2 linked regions of the Oryctolagus cuniculus genome follow. The protein of the gene in region 1 binds, or shares a complex with, the protein of each later gene. Links are inferred from orthologs where the notes say so. Each region holds a gene or a part of one and is shown on either strand. Other genes may lie near its edges.

What was found. Proteins that work in one complex are often made in the same cells at the same time.
Region 2: CACNG1 (region 1) and CACNB3 share a complex: the UniProt entries of both Homo sapiens proteins name them as parts of the calcium channel complex. The link is inferred for Oryctolagus cuniculus from reciprocal best matches to the Homo sapiens genes CACNG1 and CACNB3.

What each region holds. Positions count from the first base shown.
Region 1 is NC_091448.1:13,143,998-13,148,233, reverse strand, and holds the start of CACNG1 (voltage-dependent calcium channel gamma-1 subunit), read right to left. Parts: upstream 2,807-4,236; 5' UTR 2,666-2,806; coding exon 2,437-2,665; intron 1-2,436. UniProt on the Homo sapiens protein: Regulatory subunit of the voltage-gated calcium channel that gives rise to L-type calcium currents in skeletal muscle. Regulates channel inactivation kinetics.
Region 2 is NC_091442.1:52,305,254-52,309,365, reverse strand, and holds the start of CACNB3 (voltage-dependent L-type calcium channel subunit beta-3), read right to left. Parts: upstream 2,818-4,112; 5' UTR 2,657-2,817; coding exon 2,612-2,656; intron 1-2,611. UniProt on the Homo sapiens protein: Regulatory subunit of the voltage-gated calcium channel that gives rise to L-type calcium currents. Increases CACNA1B peak calcium current and shifts the voltage dependencies of channel activation and inactivation.

The sequences.
Region 1 (4,236 bases):
CTCAGGTCTCTCCTGAGCCTGTTGGCAGCACCGTGCATGCACAAGGCCTTCGAGGTGCCCAGGAATATGTTGGAACTTTCCAAAGCTGCCAACGGACATCATATCCTCCAGCGTTTGGGCTATCCCATTATTAGCACCAACTGTTTTGTGCTGTCTCAAGAAGCCATGATGTTACACAGTTGGCTCCAGTTGTTTTCAACAAATGCTCCCTGGGAGAAAGATTGGTGGCACTGGAGAGCTCAGAGCCAGGTCAGATAGAGGCGATTTGTAAGTGGGGACTTGCAGGGAGCCACAGGACAGGTCGCACAATGACCGCTCTGAAAACAGAGCCGTAAAAGAAAGCTGGCCATTTGTCCCCCTCAGTGGCTGTTGGGCTGCTATGTTGGTGATGACTGTGAGATGTTGAAGCCACGGCAGACCTGGGGAGGGTGCGTGGGAATGGGCAAGTCTCTGTTCCTCCTGAGCTTCCCTTGTTTTTCTGGAATTCTGTGAGATTTGGTTAATGTCCAGTGTCCTGTCAATTTTTGCCAGAATCCTCATGGCTTTTATGGGGAAGATTTGGGGGCAGGCATGCCTTACTCTGTCCTATTTTTCTGACGTCATTTCAAGTGAATTTAGGAAAAGCATTCACAACAATACATGCACACAGTGCTACGTTTGCGTGCCTTTGTTGTTGCTTTGGTTAATAACAAATAAATGAGAGATGTATGAACTCGCTCCAGAAAACGGTGGTCCCGAGGAGATTAAGGAAGGTAAAGGTACATTGGGAAGGAAGCAGACATCTGTTTGCAAAAGAGGAAAAAGGCCGGGGGGACATGCTTGGGAGGATTATTGGAGGGAAGGCAGTGCTGAGTGCCGCAAGTGCATGATTCACGCCTGGGGCGGGGGCGGCGTGGAGAGGCCAAAGAGATGGACGCTGCTCAGGCTCAAGGCCAAGTGTCGGTCCCCTGGGGCTGGCCTGGTCACCTCTGGCCAGTCTGTCTCTTCCTTGTGTGGACTCTGCCCGCTGCCCTGCTCATCGGCTCTGACTTTAAAAGGCAGATGGCTCCAAGGACAGCAGCTAGGACCATGACAGTGTCCCTGGAGGAGCCGCCTCGCCCTGCCCCGCCCTGCCCTGCCCAAGGGAGTTGGCTGGAGGAGGCGTGTGTTTACGGGCGTGCTCAGCGGTGGCCGAGGGCATGAGCATCTGCGCTATGCGATAGCCCATGAGCACATGCCCACGCCTGTCAAAGCTCCCAGCCCTGGACTCAGCGTTTCCAAGACAGCTGAGGATTTACGAGTCCTCTGCACGCCCCCCGGGGGCACGCGGGGCAGGGGATCCCTGGAGCAAGTGGCAGGGGGAGGAAAGGGCGGCATGGGGCTAGGGGCTGGGCAGACTGCAAGACCTCTGGGGGCTCAGCGCCACCCGCCTTAAAGGACGCCCTTTCTGAACACGCATGTCAGGTGGGACGGTGTCACTCACAGCCTGGCCGGCTGCCGCCTTGGAGGGACCTTGGTGAGCTCTGGGAGGGATCGTGTGTGGCTGAGACCAAGTCTCCTGTTTTATAGAAGAGGCAGCAGGAGGAGCTGAGCTGGGCTTTGTCTGCCCAGAAGCCTCCTCTAGGGAGCAGGCGGCTAGCGCGTGACTGGGGCCCAGGCCTCCGCTCCCCGCACAGCACCCGCTGCCCTGGCACACGCTCTGCTCACTGGAACTCCGTGGGCCCCACACGTGCAGAACCGACACTCTTCCCAGGGATCTGTCTTGCTCACGCCCCACGTCCTGGACCGAGGGCTCACCTGCAGCGTGTGGCTGGGTGACACTGTGGGACAGGGGACACTTTGGAATCTGAGAGAGCTGAGTTCAGGGGGCCCCTCCGGGAGGTCTGTGGGCTCCCACGAGCAGGCAGCCGGCTTGCATGCTGCCACATCCCACTTTCCAGGGGTGCAGCCTGCACAGTCACACCCACCCCAGAAGCGCCCCACACCCTGCGGCCGCCTACCTGAAACGCTTTGTCGCCGGAAACTAGGAGCCCTGCCTTTTCATTCTGCAGGAGGCACTGCAGACCCTGGAGCTGGCCCTGTTTGCACCCTTGCCTGGGCACTGAGCAATGAACCTGCCGGGCTGGGGGCACACGGCCACCCAGCCTGGGGACATGGGCTGTGACCCCTGCTGAGCCAGAGGCCCTGGTCTGGTGGACCTGCGTCTTCGTCCTGGGCCTCTTGTCCCATCTGTGCAGCTGTCTGCTCTGGGCGCATGGCCCCATGTTCTAATAGCTGGAAACGTAAGCCCTCCGTACATGGCCGTGCCATGCGCAGCTCTGTCTGCCCTGGGCAGGGAGGGCTGGGGTGCTGCTTGGACCCGAGGCAGAGAAACCTGCCTTTTTTCCCACGGGCACCTCTTCCGGGGCACCTGCGACAGGCAGGAGGCAGAGAGGGGACAGGGCATGGATACGTTACCCCCAGGCAGGGTGATGGGTCCGCAGCTCCTGTCCTCGCCCAGGGCGATGCGCTTGGTGCAAATCCGCCACAGGCCGAAGTGGGCGGCCTCGCAGGTGGTGTTGTGGTTCTCCATGTGGGGGCTCAGCACGGCCCAGTGGTCGCTCACCACGGCCGTCATGGCCAGCACGATGCCCACCAGGATGCAGAAGAGGGTCACGCGGACCTTTGGGGCTTCCGTCGGGGACATGGCGGCTGCAGAGGGGTGGGTGCTGCAGGTAGGGTCTGGCGGCGGCGCCTGCCCGTGCAGGTGGCGGCCCGGCTAGGGTGGTGGCCGTGGCTCCGGAGCTGGGGGTGGAAGCTAAGTTTAGTGTGCCCGGCTGAGCCAGAGTGGGCCGGCCTTGGGGCTGGGAGACGCGGGCTGGGGCTGAGCAGCTGCCAGACACGTCAGGGGCCTGAGCGAGGCTTCTATTAATGCCTCCAGCAGGGCCCAGGACGGCGTCTGCTCGGGTTTCAGCGCTTTCTTCCCCTCTTGGAGCCAGGGTGGGGCAGGAGGAGGCTTTACAGAGTGACTTGGAGTGGACGGGGGCGAGGGATGGGCCACCTCGTGTCGGGTGATGCACCTGCTCTGGCTGCAGAGGTCCTGCTAAGCCAGCACAGGGCCCCCGGGGAGGCCCTGCTGCTTCCTGGTCTCACACTGGGCAAGCCAGCTGCCAAGATGGGGTCCTCATCCCGGGGAGTCAGGGGACCCAGGGTCTTGCCTAGGGACAGCCCAGGGCCCTCTGCCCAGGGCCTCTGGAGCCCCCTCCCACGCAGTGCCTGAGCCCGCACAGGAGCCCAGCCCCACCGCCCAGGCCTGGGAATCTGCATGCATGTTCCTCAGCCAACTGTGACCTCACTATGAGAACACCTCTACCTCCTCACTTCTCTTCCTGTTCCTGTCCCTGTTCAGGGCTAGGGAACGTGTGCTGGAACAACCGCCCTTAGAGACAGAGAGAGGCCCGGAGAATACAGCTGGACTCAGCGGCACCACTGTTTCTATGGAACTGCTCTGAGCGCCGCCTCCTCTTCCAGGCAGGTCATAAAGATTCCTGGCTGTATTTTCACTTACAAAGTTAAATGCAGGCCGGCGCCACGGCTCACTAGGCTAATCTTCCGCCTGCGGCGCCGGCACCCCCGGTTCTAGTCCCGGTTGGGGCACCGGATTCTGTCCTGGTTTCAGCTCTTCCAGCAGACAGTGCGGCCCAGACAGTGGGGTGGTGTGATGTGCCAGCTCCCAGTGGGATGGCGTTTGGAGGCGGGCCTTTGGGGGGTGGTCTGGTAAGAGTGGTGGCTTGGGGCCCTGATGAGAGCCCAGAGAGCTCACTTGCTTCCTCTCTGCCATCTGCAAGCCAGGAAGAGAGCCCTCACCAGAACCTGACTGTGCTGGCTCCCGGCTTCCAGAACAGCACTTGGCTGTGGTGCCCTGGGCTGGCGGCATGGCGGGCGGTGGATCCAGGATGGCTGCGTCAGCATGTTCTTCACAGACCACTGGTGGATGGGTTTGCTCTGAGCTTCGGAGGCTGAGGTCACTGAGGCTGTGAGGCACTCACTCTAGGTCCTCCCAGAACCTTCACAGATGCTTATTGAGAGGTTTGATGGATGGACAGACGGACTGAAGGCGGAGGGCAGCTGGGGCTTGAATACTTTACTTTCCCAGGGACCTGCGAAACGGCAGGTGTTTGGCCTCGTGGTTAGGACACACTGGAGCGTGTGGTTTGGAGTGTCAGCCCCACTCCTGGCTCCAGATTCCTGGTGAAGTGCACCCTGGGAGGCGACAGG
Region 2 (4,112 bases), on another chromosome or scaffold:
TGTTTGTGTGTGCCATGTCTGAGGCCATGAGGGAGAGACACTAAAGAGCAAGAGAAGCCGGGCTTGGAGGCAAGAGGCTGGAATTTACATCGTCTGGGTTTTTCCCTCTGCCCAGAGAAAAGGGAATTTTGTGTTTTCTGCTTCAGTGCTGCACACACACACCCCCACCCCTCAGCTATGAGCAGAAGCCTAAAGTGATTCTTCCCTTAATTCTAGGATGCTGGTAGCAGAGAAAGCAGGAAACTAGATAAAGGGTTCCTGCGTCCGTGCATGTGTGTGCACGTGTGTGTGTGTGTATTGGTGTGTGTGTAGGGGAAGGGGTTCTGGCATATTCTCAGGGTGAGCACCACTCCCACAAGGCTACTGTGCATGATGATTTTCTGGGAGGGGGGGGCAGAGGCCAGACTCTCAGGGGAGAAGGCAAAACTGCACATCTGCTGCCCATAACGTTCTCTGCCCCAGCCCAACCCTAGGTGAGAGAGCTGGAGGCACGGCAGGCCCTCGAGCCTAAATGATGGTGTGGAGCAGACCAAAGATGTGAAGATTGCATAGAGGGGCAGGGAGGGGCGGTCTTTAATTTTATAGATGAGTAGAGCGTGCTTGCGGCTGTCCATCTTTCCTGAGAACAAAATAAGACTGGTCTGGCAGCGGGACAGAAAGACGCTGTGCTGAAACCGCTGGATGTGGTGGAAGACCCCCTTCCAGGGCTCTCAGGACACGCGAAACAGCTCTGTGGGCCACGCTGAATTGGACAGTGGCCAGCAGGCTGGGAGGCAGAGGCAGGACGGCCACTCACTTTGGCGCCTAAACATCGGAGACTGCAGACGCCCAGCAGGTGCTGGGCGAGGAGCCTCGGCTTTCCTTCTGCTGTAGGGCTCTCAGCCTAACTGGGTAACTTTAGTGCAGGGTGCGTCTGGCTTACCTGACCTCTCACCTTCCAGTGGCAATCACAGGAGCTCTCCCGACAAGTTTCGGAGTTATACTCAGAAGGGACTCCTCCATCCATGATTCCACTCCCAAATCCTCAAGGCTCACCCACCTCTCACGCTATGCTATGGCCAGGGCTGCGTAGCAAACCCATTCTTGCATCTTTTACCTCTGCTCTACCCCACTACGGCAAAACAGCCAAAGGCTCAGCACTTTGGAGCTGTCAGAAGTTGGCACGGGTGGTGCCCCCCTTGCCTGGTGAGTGTGTGGGCAGGCTGCAGCTCCTCTCGCCTGGCACGGGGGAAGAAGAGGAGGGAGATGAGCCGGTGGATTTATTTAGAGACTGATCTCCCTCCTACTGCTTCAGAGGGGGCCTCAGGGAGAGAGCAAGGAGCCAGGAGAGAGGAGGCGAAGTGGCGGGGAGGGGGGAAGAGGGTGATCCAGGACGCTGAGACAGCTGGGAAGGCAGCAGGCTCACCCTCAGACAGCCGTCCACGTGTCTATCTTGTCCCGTGAAGGCCCTCGAGCCCTACAGAGAGCTCACTTTGGCACCCTGGGCTGTGCCAGCTGTCCCCTTCAAGTGTCAGAGAGAAGTGTCCACCAGAGCCTTGCACTGCAGCTGCTGTGCAATCAGCCCCAGAGGTCCCCCTGGGAGAACCGGCCCCAGGAGCAGTCAGGTCCCAGGCAAGGACTGCCAGCTCTGCCAGCTCTGCCCCTTAGCAACTCATCCATCCTGGGCTTGGAGGCAAGAGAAGGCTGGAGGCTTGAAGAGGCAGGCTGCGGCCCACGACCACCAGCACCTCTCCCAGGAGGTGCTGTGGCAGGGTTGGCAGCTCCAAGGGGGGCTTAGAAGCTGCCCCACTCTGGGCCCTATCTTTCCAGGCACTCTCCCTGAGCTCCGGGAATCACTGCCTAATGAGCTGATTTGTCTCAGTGGGTCAGGAGATAAAAGCAAAGAAGAGAATTAAATATTTATCGGCTGCCTGATTTCTCTGAGCCAAGAGAGCTTCCTATCCAAGCCCCGGGCCCCCTCCAGCCCCTCTGGCCTCACCGCCTGGCCCTCCATAGGTGCTGGGTGGCAGGCAAGCCGCAGCTGGGCACTGGGCATGGGGTGGGGGTGCAATCAGGTGTCCCCCCCCCACCCCCCAGGGTGCTGGATGCCCAGGAGAGAAAACGGGCTAGAGGAAGGGGTGAGCTATGGTGATGCGCCAGCGGGGGCGGGCAGGAGACACTGGGCCGCCTCAAGTTTTACAATCCTCTGAGGAGACGGCTTGGTACCCGACACCCTCAGGTCCCTGGTGTGCCGTTCATTTACAGCACATAAAGTGTGGCACGGCCCCCTGCCCAAGAGCCCCCATCAATCCAGAATCTGAAACTCCAGACGTCGCGGGAAACCCTTGCGCCCTCAGCCTCCGGCCTCTCTCCCTCCCTCGACCCCGTCCGTGCTGGGCTGCGGAGCCACCTGCTCCAGCCTTGCGCCACAAGGGCCCCCGGCCCCCCGGGTCTGGGCGGGCGGGCGCCCTCGGCGTGGAATCTGTCTTCCCGCTTTCCCAGAGCGCCCCCTGCACGCCCTGCCCCGCCACTGAGGCGTTTGTCAAAGTCCCGAACTGGGGGAAGGGCCCAGGGAGCCCCAGGTGTCGCCCCAACCCCCCACCCCCACCCCCGCTCCGGCGTGGGCACTCACCGCCTCCGAGTCCTCAAACCCGGGCACGTAGGAGTCCTCATACATGGGGAGTCCGGGCGGGAACGCGAGCGGCGCCGGGGCGGGGGCGGCCCCGAGGCAGGGGCGAGGACGGAGGGCCGCGCCCGAGGGACGCCAGCGAGCCCCGCAGCCTTGCGGGCGGCGGCGGCGGGCGCGCCGGGGACGGAGCTGCCACCGAGACGCCTGCTCGGGCTCGCACCGCAGCTGCCCACCCCCCACCCGCGGGCCCACCCCGAGCGCCGCCAAGGAGTCGGCGCCGGCTCCGCAACAATAGCGCCCGCCCACCCGGCCCTCACGGGAAGGCGGCGCGGCGTGGCCGCGGGGGGCAGCCGGGCCTGGGCCGCGGGAGGGCGCGGACGGGAGCTGGGTCCCCGAGCACCCACGGGCCCGGGGCGGCGGGCGGGAGGGGCGGAGAGGCGGCGGGCGGATCCGAGCGGGCTGGAGGCGGGGCGAGGGGCGCTGCGGGCTCCCAGACGCTCCGCAACCCAGGAAACTGCTCCGCCGGGAAACAAAGGGCTGGGCGGGGGCGGGGAAGGGGCCGAGCGGAGCCGGGCAGCGACCCGCGCGGGCCGGGGTTCGGGCGCTGGGGCGGCCGCAGGCTGGAGAGCGGAACCGGGGACCAGAAAACGGAGAGACCGGGCAGCGGCAGGCGGGGGAGGGGGCCCAGGTGAGATGGCGGCGCGTCCCAGGAGACTCCGAAAGCCAAACCTTGCATTGCAACCGCGGAGGAAGGGATTTGGCGACCCCAGGCCAGTGCTGTGGAAGCAACCACCCCAGTCCCCAGCCCGTACGCGCGGGCCCCGCAGTGCGGGGCCGCGCAGCTGGGGGGCGGGGTCGCCCGACCCTGGAGAAGGGCCGAGGTTCTGGCAGCTGGATAGGCCTCCGCGCACCTGTTGCACGGCGGATTTCACCCCTTTGCAGCCACGATGCAGGTTCCCTTCCTCATCTCCCTGCCAAGGGTGGTGCCAGACATGGCCAAAGGCATTCGTGGGAACTGGGGCAGAAGGGGCTGTTTTAGGAGAACCCACGAGGAGGGGTGGGGGCGAAGGTGCGATCCTGCCTGCCACACAGGCTTGGGAAGGGGAGAAAGGGGCGAGCGTCCCCAGTCCCTGGTGGGGGACCAGGGCCACACCCCGCCTTGGCAGCAAGCCCCAGCTGGGGGGGGACAGGTGTCCTGCTTGCCTCGTCCTGAGACTCTCTCGGGCCTGCTTCAGTTTATCTGTGCCTGTGGCAGTTCCGGCCTTCTCCTCTTGCTAGATTTGGGGGAACAACCTGGACGCCTTGACGGCCAAGGGGGGCGGTGGCTACTCGGGGAGGCGGTGGCTCGGCTTTCACAGTTCCCGCTCGCTCCTGCGGGGGGCAGGGGAGGGGCTGATCGTATATGGACATGACTGTGCCCTCTCTCTCGATTCCTTTAGGATTCCTTGTATCTTTTCCATTCTCTCTCGCGTCAGTTCCTTCCATCCTACAGGGCTGGAGGAGT